Linked DNA regions of Caenorhabditis elegans. The protein of the gene in region 1 interacts with the protein of each later gene in a pairwise test. Each region holds a gene or a part of one and is shown in the gene's direction. Other genes may lie near its edges.

Region 1 (6,551 bases):
CAACAACTTTCAAGCTTTTCTAAGGCCTGGGTTCTCTATTTTAACAGACCCAAGAGGCCTGATATCATAGCCTCTGAATACGGTAGAAGCCAAGTTCTGCTCCTCTTCCTCTCCTTATACTATCTCCTGTGCTTCTTCTCCTTCTTCTTTCCTCACTGAGAGTGCCTGAGAGTTATTGTCGGCCGTCATTCGCCTCTCTTGTTTTCGAGTCTGCCGCACCCTCCGATCCATCTCTCCCCATCTTTCTCTCCGCATCACGTTACCCATTCATTCGGCACTCCTCCACGCACTCTCCACAATCGATACGCTGTCGTCACGGCCTCTAAGCACACACACTCCACGACGGGCGCGCTCTCTCGTGCCGGGTGTCTCGTGATCTCCGCCACTCGGCACAGTGTCTAGTGATGTTTGGACTCTCCGCAGCGCGCATTGTGTATGCGAGTGTGCAACGCGTCTCCGCGTCGCGGTCGGCCTCCCCTCGTACACAATGCCCCGCCCGTCTCCAATCTCTCCTCCCTCTCGTCCTATGCGCCCCAAATCGTCCTCTTCTTTTGTGTATATGTTTCGTTTTCTCTTAGTCTTCTTCCTCTTCTACTACTACTACTTTTTGCCCCCCGTCTTGTTCCCTTCATCTCCCTACACTTCTTCTTCTTCTTACCATCCCCAACCGCATCCATCCGCCATCACACACTCTTTTCCGCTGATTTTGGGAGCGCAGAGACAGAAGGCAGGCAGGCAACAAAATAGTGTGGTTAACAGTGATGATGGGAAGAGCATGGGCGGTTTAGGCGCGAAGAGGACAAATTTGAATTCTAAAAATCGACTTGAAACGGAGAGGTACAGGTTGGATTTGATGCCTTGGCCGTGAAATGGGAAAATTCGGAGGGATTTTCAGAGAACCCACAGCGATAGGAATTGGAAGACGGTATTAGAACCATTACATTAGGCTTTAGGCTCAGGTACTTGGATACGGGGCCCTCGTGGTGTCAGGCTGTCCTACTATGGTTTGATCTACAAAAAAATGCGGAAATTTTTGGCCCATAAAAATGTGACGTCAGCAAGTTCTTAACCATGCAAAATCAGTTGAGAACTCTGCGCCTCAACTCCGGCATTTTTTGTAGATCTACGCAGATCAAACCGAAATGAGACACTCTGAGACTTTTTCGTGGGGACCGCGGATATAAAAGGTCGGCCACCAAAATTCATTGCTCTTCTAGAATGCTAACTCTGCCTCTGGAACCCAAAATACCTCTGGATTTGCTGAAACTAGCTTAAAAGTGGATCAGCAGGACCTTTTCCGCAGGATTTAGAGGGACTGACCGAGTTTTCTCTTTCACGGCCACCATGTTCAAGCAGTGCACCTGGGCACCTGTGCACACAGCTCCAACACGAAAAGAAACTAAGATTTTTGCATTTTCAGTAAAATTCAGAAAATTCCACGTGGATCAGTGAAAATTTGGCGCAATTCCGTCGAAATTAGTACATGCTGGGACTATAATAAGAATTTTTTAAGCTTTTGCAGTGAGATACGTTGTTTTCAATTTTATTTTTCAATTTTTCAATCAAAATTCATGTATTCTTCTTTTGTTCCAGTCATTTTAAGCAGTGTTTTCATTATTCTAGTCTTATGAAATTCGAAAAATTGAGAAGGAGGCAAGTGCGCTCCAGTGACACTCCGGCAAATTTGAATTCGAAACTTATCTGCTTCTCTATTTTTCTCACTTTCTCCATTTAATTTCTTATTTTTCTTTGGTTTTCCTGGTTTTCCTTGGTTTTTCTTCAAAAAATTAATTTTTCAAGTGATTAAAATTGTTTCCAGCACAATTATATCCTTATTAAATCGCAATTCTCATCGGAAACTAGCTTAAAAACCTAAAATTCCAATTTTTTCAGGCTCGGAAACACAAAAAATAATAAAAAATGCAGCAGAATATACAATACACATACAGTTCGGATCCCCGCTCGGGCGGTAATCAAAATCAGCAGCTACACGGAATATCGCAATTTCAACAGAACTCCTATCAGCCGACGACGTATTCAAATTCAAATGCGAACAATTTTCATTCCTCTAATTCCGCAACTTTTATACCTAATTCAGTGACGGTAGGGGATTTTCAGGAAATCGAGTGAAAATGTTCAATTTTATTTAATTTCAGCAAACACCTCAGCGGCGGATGGGAGAAGAGAAGAGTTTAGTTAATATGCTTGACGCTTATTTTATCGACAGTACGACACCTTCAACATCAACGTCGTGGAATAATCAGCAGCCAGTTCAGGTAAAAATCGTAAAAATCGTGCGATTTGGCTTAAAAAAATGGCGGAAATCTCGAAAAATCTCGATTTTCCTCATTTTTTACCGTAAATTCTATCGTAATTGTGGTTGTGTTTGTGAATCGTGATTTATTTTATAGATGTCTTCAATACAACAATCAGTTGGATCATACAATCAACAAATACCTCAGTTGAAAGTAGGAGATGTGGTAAATTCGTTGTTTTTTCTTTGTTTTTTTTTGGGGAGAATTTCGTGTTATTCAGTGATTTTTTCAAGGAATTTTGAATTTTGCAGCTCGAAATCCGCGTGGATTTTCGCATTTGAGCGGATTTTTCAAAAAATTTGCTCAAAAAGTCGATAAGTTACTGGAACTTGCTTAGTTTTGCAACTATGGTCTGCTAAATAATTAGCAGACCAAAGGTGGGTATGCTAAATATTTAGCAGGCCCAAGTTGGGTATGCTAAATATTTAGCAGACCCAAGATGCGAAATCGAGCAGAATTTGTCCATTTCTCGAGTTTTAATGCGAATTTTAAGTTTCAACACACTGAAAACACGAATTGAATGAAATCACGCAGCGAACTCACCGAGCACACCTCAGAAACATTTCAGGACCTACAAGTAGAAGGAATGAATGTTAAACTCTCCTCGTCACCCGACAAAGGCGAGAAGGATCGAGTAAAGAAGGCGCGACAGGCAGAAGCCGCCCGAATGCGTTATCACCGACTATCAAACGAAGAGAAACGAGAGTTAAACCTGAAAAGAACGTTGGCGCAGAAGCGAAAACGGCAACGTGAGAAGGAGATGGAGGAGCTCGAATCGATTTTGCGGGAGACAAATGACATTCAAGAGGATCCGGACATCACCGAACAGCTCAGAGAGAAGAGAATGCGGGCCAAGTGGGCAGAGGCCGCCCGTACACGTTACGCTAGAATGACGCCGGAAGAGCGCCGGGCGCACAATACGCGGAGACGTATGCGGCAGATGCAGAACGCGATGAGCGCGATTAAGGTGAATATAGAACATTGAATTCTAGCAGAAAATCTGGAAAATTAGCGGAGAAGAGGAAAATTTAATTGGGTGAAAATCTATTTTTGGTAAAATCTCTCCTCCCTAACACACAAAATTTGTAATTTTTCCGCTGCTACCGTGACGTAACATTCCAGAAATCGGAGTTTCAGGCATGTGGAATGGCTACAGGAGATCCACAGAAGGACGACGAGGCTGTCCGGTTGCACATCAAGACGCAGAATGCGAAAAAAGCGGAGGCGGCTCGTCAACGGTAAGGAAGAGATTCGGGGGAATCAGAATAGCTTGGGTCTGCTAAATATTTACCATACCAAACTTGGGTCTGCTAAATATTCAGAATGGGTCTGCTAAATATTTAGCATACCCAACTTTGGTCTGCTAAATATTTATTTGGGTCTGCTAAATATTTAGCATACCCATCTTTGGTCTGCTAAATATTTAGCAGACCCAACAATTGCGAAATTCACCTGAGTTTCCACACATTTTCGATCAAAAAACCTCCAAATTTCCAGATACCATCGAATGAACGATGACGAGAAGCGCGTCTACAATCAACGAAGGACAGAAGCGTTCCGCCGCCGTCGTATGGAAGAAGAGATGCTGCTCGCCATGCCTATAGGCCGTATCAACGGAGAAGCACTGGATCGTGCTCAGCAGATTGTGGTCCGAAACGCGAAACGAGCCGAAGCGGCACGTCTTCGCTACCAGCGAATGACGCCTGATCAGAGAAAGGTGAATATATTTTTGCTACAACTAATCAATCACCAACGAGAGACAGAGAGGGTCTTGCGATGACTTTTAGTTATTTTTGAGCACGAAAAATTTGAAAATTTGCGCTAGCGAATCCAAAAAAAAACCCCGGGTTTCTTCCCCAACTCTCCGAGATCTCAGACTCCTAAATTTTGTTGTAGGTCGCGAAACAAGAACCGAAAGAAGAGTCTTGGCCCTCTCATGAGCAATCTGACACGCAAATCGACCATGATCTCGATCTCGGAGACGTTAGTGAAACCTTTTTTCTTTTATTTTTCTTCTTCTTTTTTTTGAATTTTGGATACTGAAATTGAGAATGAGAATGCTTGTTGTGTGTAGGCTTTGCGCATGTGTGTTTTCGAAAAACAAAATTTCAAAAAAAAAAAAAACATTTTAATTTTTAATTTTTCAGTCGTACAATCAAAAACGCTACACTCCAAAGCGTCGTCGCAACGAGATGGACGACATGATCAGCGCCGGACAGATGGCCGTCGGATCCTCTGGAACCATCACAATGGGCACCGGCACCCCCGCCAAAAAGGACGATATGGACGCTCTCTCCTCGTTGGAACGTGACGTCGTCAAGCGCACACAGCACGCTCAGCAGATCCTTCTCCGACAACGCGCGAATCAGTCGTCGGGAACGCCACGCTCGGTTACACCACCGCCACAGGCCTATATAATCTCGAATGGTCAGCAACAGCACCAACAGTTGGTTGGAAATCAGGGAAACAATGGGATTGGACAGCACCAGGTGCTCCATCAAGGACACATGCAACAGCAGCAGATTCAGGTGTCACACCAGGTGAATATCGATGAAAACTAGGAAAAAATGAGTTTTTGAGCGGAATTTTGCTATAAAACTCGAGGTTGGGTATGCTAACTATTTAGCAGACCCAAAGTTGGTATGCTAAATATTTAGCAGGCCCGAAGTTGGTATGCTAAATATTTAGCAGACCCAAAGTGGGTATGCTAAATATTTAGCAGACCCAAAGTGGGTATGCTAAATATTTAGCAGACCCAAAGTGGGTATGCTAAATATTTAGCAGACCCAAAGTTGGTCTGCTAAATATTTAGCAGACCCAAAGTTGGTATGCTAAATATTTAGCAGACCCAAATTTCAAAAAAAAAATTGATTTTTACTCAAATCTCCCCAATTCTAGAATCATCCAACTAATCAAACTTTAGGATTTTCAGCAGTCGTCCCAATCGATTCCTCAGAACATCTACACTTCTGGCATGATTATCCAAAATCAGGGACAACAGCAACAAGGCCAGCAGCAGCAGCAGGGACAGTCTCAACAAATATTGAACAATCCTTATAGAACCTAATAATATAATAATTCCTGTTCTTTTTTTTTCAAATCTTCTCTTTCTGTTCTTTTTTCTTCTTCTTTGTCCATTGTTTTTCTTTCCTCTGAAAATTGCATCTGTATTATTTACTGAAAATCGCGTAGTTTTTTATCTTTTTTTAATCAAAAAATTCAACAAAAAAAACCACTAAAAATTGAAAAAAGTTTGCAAAAAAAGCCCCAAAAAATAAGTTTTCTTCCTCTTAATTGTTAATTTTTTAACGTTTTATTCAACTTTCCATTTCTAATTTTCACTGTGACCCAATTTTTTGTTTCATTTTTCTGAAACCCCCATTACCAATAATTTCCAGATATTCTCATTCTCAAGAACCTCCTCTCAAATATCCGAACAAACCCTGCGCTACCGTGAAATCTGCCTTAAACCCACCCCCATCTAGAACTACCTGAAAATCCATGTTATTTTTACATTATCCTTTTTTTCCCCCATTTCTTGTTTTAAAGAAAATATTCACCCTGCGTCTCGAAATTCTTATACTCTATCCCCATCCCTCTCCCACACAAAATCCTCTCCAAATTTCCAAATATTTGGTAATCTGAAAATTTTCGTCGAATTTGAATATTGACGATTAATTAGAATAAAAATTGAAGTTTATTCCTGAGTTTCCGATTTGAAAATTCCTTTTTTTAGCGTGTTTTTTTCAGCGTTTATCTACTTTCTTTTACAAAAATTGTAATAGAAAAAAATCGATATTTGCCACGTGGCAAGCCAAATTGGGTCTGCTAAATATTTAGCAGACCCAAGAAAAATTATTTAGCAGACCAAAGTTGGGTCTGCTAAATATTTGGCAACCAATTTTCTCCAGAAATCCAATTAAAAAGCTCAATAAACCATGAAAAGAGCATTCAGTTGTAAATATTTAATACGAAATTCTATTTCTTGCGGAAAATAATAATTTTCTTGCTGTTCGCACTGGGAAGAGAGGAAATCCCTCAATTTTCCATCCCGATAATTGCACCTTACACTCGGGGTCTCTCGAGAGTTTATAATTAGCTTTTATTTTCAGAAAATACGTATTTTGTTTATCAAATACCCCGAAAATATGAAAATTCTCATGACAACTGGGGAAAATCCATAAAAAAGTGGCAGTGGGCAAGCGCGCTCCATTGATAACGTGCATTTTCCGATAT
Region 2 (4,751 bases), on another chromosome or scaffold:
AATTGCGGCATTTACCACGTAGAACAGGTAAAACTCGTGGCGGCGGGATTGTTTTGGAGATGGACACGGGCGGAGCACAGTTGTCGACGATTTGGAGCAGTTTACACGATCGAAATAGCCGGTTTTTAGGCAATGACCTGGAAAAATAGGATAAATTTTTGATTTTCTGGTGAAAAAGTCGTTTTTTGCGGGTTTTTAAGGTAAAAATTGCGATTTTTCTGAATTTTTCCTAATTCTTTATCTCCCTACCAGCTTTAATAGCCTTAATCTCGAAATCCTTGCACGGTGCACACTGGGTGACCACTTCAAATGGCTCATGCTTCCAACATTCTTCCGCTGGATATTCCGTCACCACTTTTTCCAGTTTTCCGGTGGTTCCGCCGTGTTCCGTCTCTGAAAATTCAACTTTTTTTCCAAGTTTTTAGGTGGAAATCTTACTATAAAACGCTTTTTTCATCTCCATTTCGCTGTTCATCTCACTTTCCTCCGTGTACTCTTCGATGAAGAATACGAGAATCGAAAAACCGATTAGGGCGAGGACAAACGTGGAAATTTGCTTTGTACTGCAGTATTCCATCGTTTTTCTGCAAAAAAAAATGAGGGAAAATGAGTTATTTTGGCTTGAAATTGAGAAAGAAATTAATTAATTTCGTACTGTAATTTTTAAAGGTGCATAGAGGCAAATTCTGTGTTGGGTCTCGCAACGAAATACATTTATTTGCTGATTTTTGACAAAGTTTGAAACTTAACTGAAACTTGCGAGTTACGTTTGCCAAAAAATATGACAATGGGTTTCATTATTAGTATATAAACTTTTAATGAATTTCCGTACGAAAAATTGTTAATAAATGGCTTCAAAACCGTAAAAACTATTTTACTGTAAGTTTAAAGGTACATGAAGATTAACTTTTCAGCAGGTCTTGAAACGAAATACAAAAAACTCATTAAAATTTATTTTTCAACATTTTTTCTTGGTTTTTTTTTTCGGATAAAAAATTAATTTAAACCAATAATAAATATTTATAATTTGCAGAATTATAAAATTCTCCGTTACAATCTAACGTAAAAAAATTCATTTTTTGCTGGAAATTAACCAATAACTAGGAAAAAATCACAAAAATCCTCCTCAAAAACCGGAAATCCCCTTTAAAAAAAATCCACGACGCTCCGTAAATCGACACAGCCCTATCCACACAAACGCGCTCCAATCCCACCTTGCACACTCGAGACGCGGTTGCGCGTCGCGTGCGCGCGCGCTTCACTGCGTCTCCTCACTCACCGTGAACATCTGTGGCTGAGAAAACACAATTGATTCGGCCCCGTCCGTCGTCCCATTCCCGTCGAATTTTTGTATTCTTCGGCCACATTTTTTCTCACGGCCCCCGCGGCTCTTTTTATTTGAATTTTGTCGGAAATGCGTAGTTTTCTCAGGAAAATCAAGCGAAAATTGATTTTGAATCGAAAAAACCGAAAAATTCGATCGAAATTTGAATGTTTTCGAAAACAAATTCAAAATTTCAATTAAGCACCGTAAACTTTAAAGGCGCATGCTGTTTTTGCCACAACGGGTCTCGCCACGAAGGTGAAATTCACTGCTGTCCCTTTAAAGCGTACTGTAATTTATTTTTCGAAATTTTTTCTCAAATTTTGGGCAAATTTAGTCTTTTTTCTTTATTTTTCAGCGAAAAAACCATATTTTCAAACGATTTTTTTTCAGAAATGGAGACGAGAAAAGTTCGTACACCGTCCGCAAAGCTGCTCGCCGCCAAACAAGATGAAGTCTTCGAAAAAGTTATTCCTACAGCTCAACTCACACCGAAATCTACAATTTCTGCACAAATGGCGTGAGTAGACGAGAAAAATCCAAAAATATAAAAGAAAAATCAAAATTTTCAGCACTTTAGACCTATAAATAGTGAAAAAACCTTTAAAAATCTCGGGTTTCTATTCCAATTCTCCTAAAAATCTCTAAATTTGCTCGTTTTTTTTCAGAAAAGTCCCAGAATCCACGACACCAGAGCCACTTTCAGTCGACCAGGAGCGAGATATGACCCCAGGCGAGCACGAGCTCCAAGTTCACCAGAAACACCACCAAAGCCCGATTTTAGAGGAGGAAATCGATGTTTCCAACACTGAAATCGGTAAAAATTGGATTTTCTACATGAAAATGCGATTTTTACGCGGAAAAATTGGCGAAAATCCTCAATGATCAGGCAAAATTGGCGATTTTTAGGGGGAAAATACCAAAATTTACGATTTTGCTTTAAAAAAATCAGTTTTTAATCAAAAAATGTGTTTTTTCATTGGAAAAGTGCTGAAAAGTCGATTGTCGACTCTAAATTTGCAATTTCCCATTAAAACGTTCATTTTTTACCTAAAAAATGTAATTTTTTCACTTCAAAATTCTAAAATTTAACCTAAATGCTCGCGTTTTCAAGGAGAAACTGCCTAGAACTCAGGTTTTTACTTTAAAATTCAGTTTTCGGCTGAAAATCAGAAGCTACTACCGGAAAATGTTACAGTTTTCTATGAAATTTGTCTTAAAACTCGATTTTCATTTAAGAAACCAATTTTTCGCCAAAAAATTCTTTAAACCCCGGATTTTTACCTGAAAATGTTAATTTTCAAGCTAAAATCTCTTAAAAAATCAGATTTTCACTCAAAAAATCCCGAAAATTTTAATTTTCAAGCTAAAAACTCTAAAAATTCGAATTTCACTTCGAAAAAACCCAAAAAATCCAATTTTCAACCTAAAAATTCCCCAAAAAATTAAAATTTCATTTAGAAAATTCCCAAAAAATGTCATTTTTGAAGCTAAAACTTCCCGAAAAAGGCCAAATTTTAATTGAAAAACCCCTAAAATCTCAAAAATTCTCAATTTCCAGACGCGTCAGTGCTCGACGATCACATGGACACTCAAACAATGGAAATTGAAATGGAAATGGCTTTGAAACGCGAGAAAATCGACGCTCAAATGGTCTTAAACAGTGATTTTTCGGTTGCAAATGAGGTTACAATATCATCAATGAAATATCAAGGGCGTCCGACTCCGACTAGAAAGGTACCGTATCAAAATGAAGACGAACACCTCGTCACCACAATGCAGGTGATTTATCGCGGAAAATGGCATTTTTTCACCGAAAAAAACCCTGAAAAATGAGGATTTTTACTTGAAAAATCCTGTGAAAATGAGCAAAAACCACACCTAAAACGAGAATCCACTAAAAATGGCAAAGTAAAGTTTCAAATGCTCTGAAAACGATCAAAAATCGACCAGAAATAGCCGAAATTTCACAGAAAATTCACTGTAAAAAGCTGCTTAAAAAGAGCCAAAATAATGCCCTAAAATTCCGAAAACTCACTTTCAAATACCTGCGAAAAGCCTTCAGAAAGCGTCTAAAATCACAGAAAAAAAACCCCAATTTTTGCACAGAAATCCTCTAAAAAACCAGCAAAAACCGTCTCAAAAAAGTTTTGCAGCGTGTCGCCGCAGCCACCTCATTCACCGGAGAAACTCTCAATCTCAAATCTTCGGATCTCTCAATTCCCAACAAAGCTGCCCATTTCCTTTATTTCCGTTGCTACGAAGAACATGAAGTTCAGAAAGAATTCCCGTTGACAATCGATGAAACACGTAAAGGGCCTCAGAATTTCCTTGTTGAACCCCGTCACGGACTAAAAAATACCGATTATTATATTGATAGTTATTTGTGGAATCGTGGCAAATCGACGAGCTCGAAGAAGAAAATTTTTGTGGAAATAGAGGGAAATCATGTGAAAACGTCGAGAAGAACTGCCGAAACTGCACATTATGTGTTGAATTGGTATTATTCGAATATGGAGAATAGAATTTGCAAAAAGGTGCGGTGGAAATGCAGTTTTTAACCGAAAAATTTGAAAATTTCACACAAAAATTGACCTAAAATCGGGGTTTTTACCTAAAAAATAGCATTTTTCAGGCTAATGGCAAAAAAATGGATTTTTAACCGAAAAAAAAAAGGAAATTTCATTACAAAAATTACCTAAAGTCATATTTTTTACCGAAAAAAATGACATTTTTCATACTGAAATTACAAAAAAGGATTTTTCACCCAAAAATGGTTTTTTTTTTCATTCTAAAATTTCAAAAAGAATGAAGAAAAAAAATATACCGAAAATTGAATTTTTCACCCAAAAATGACATTTTTTTACTTCTAAATAAACAATAATCGGGATTTTTATGTGAAGAAATAGTTTTTGACCGGAAAAATTGAATTTTTCATCAAAAAATGACCTAAATCGAATTTTTACCCGAAAAATTACATTTTTCATGCTTTTAGAGTCGATATTCTTTGATTTTCATCACCGAATTCGATTTTGCCGCAAATTTTCACTTCTAAAATCGGTTTTCTGTGCTTCTAGCTCATGTTTCAGAATTTCCGGGTTACGGTAGCCCCGAAAGTACGCAAACACCGACTACAGTAACCCAAAACACCAGATTTCACGCAATTTTGAGCTACAGCTCTGAAAATTTACGTTGTAGTGGAAAAAAAATGCGGGGATTCCGAAAAATAACCGAAAAATTTGAAAATTTCACACCAAAATTGACCTAAAATCGGGGGTTTTTACTTAAAAAATAGCATTTTTCAGGCTAAAATGACAAAAAAAAGGATTTTTAACCGAAAAAATTGGAAATTTCATTACAAAAATTACCTAAAGTCATATTTTTAACCGAAAAAAATGACATGTTTCATTAAAAAAATATACCGAAA

The links. The genes of interacting proteins can lie anywhere in the genome.
Region 2: the proteins of gei-4 (region 1) and Y77E11A.7 interact in a two-hybrid assay, tested with the Caenorhabditis elegans proteins (one large-scale study listed by BioGRID).

What each region holds. Positions count from the first base shown.
Region 1 is NC_003281.10:343,770-350,320, reverse strand, and holds gei-4 (BZIP domain-containing protein), read left to right. Parts: upstream 1-1,893; 5' UTR 1,894-1,920; coding exon 1,921-2,103; intron 2,104-2,156; coding exon 2,157-2,276; intron 2,277-2,411; coding exon 2,412-2,480; coding exon of another isoform or gene 2,481-2,633; intron 2,634-2,883; coding exon 2,884-3,282; intron 3,283-3,437; coding exon of another isoform or gene 3,438-3,452; coding exon 3,453-3,553; intron 3,554-3,812; coding exon 3,813-4,032; intron 4,033-4,211; coding exon 4,212-4,298; intron 4,299-4,462; coding exon 4,463-4,855; intron 4,856-5,238; coding exon of another isoform or gene 5,239-5,247; coding exon 5,248-5,382; 3' UTR 5,383-6,015; downstream 6,016-6,551.
Region 2 is NC_003282.8:1,416,814-1,421,564, reverse strand, and holds the start of Y77E11A.7 (Dynein heavy chain 1, axonemal), read left to right. Parts: upstream 1-1,719; coding exon 1,720-1,844; intron 1,845-1,992; coding exon 1,993-2,141; intron 2,142-2,885; coding exon 2,886-3,106; intron 3,107-3,480; coding exon 3,481-3,861; intron 3,862-4,751. Other genes in the region: jtr-1 (Protein JTB), read right to left, coding at 1-137, 250-393, 439-577.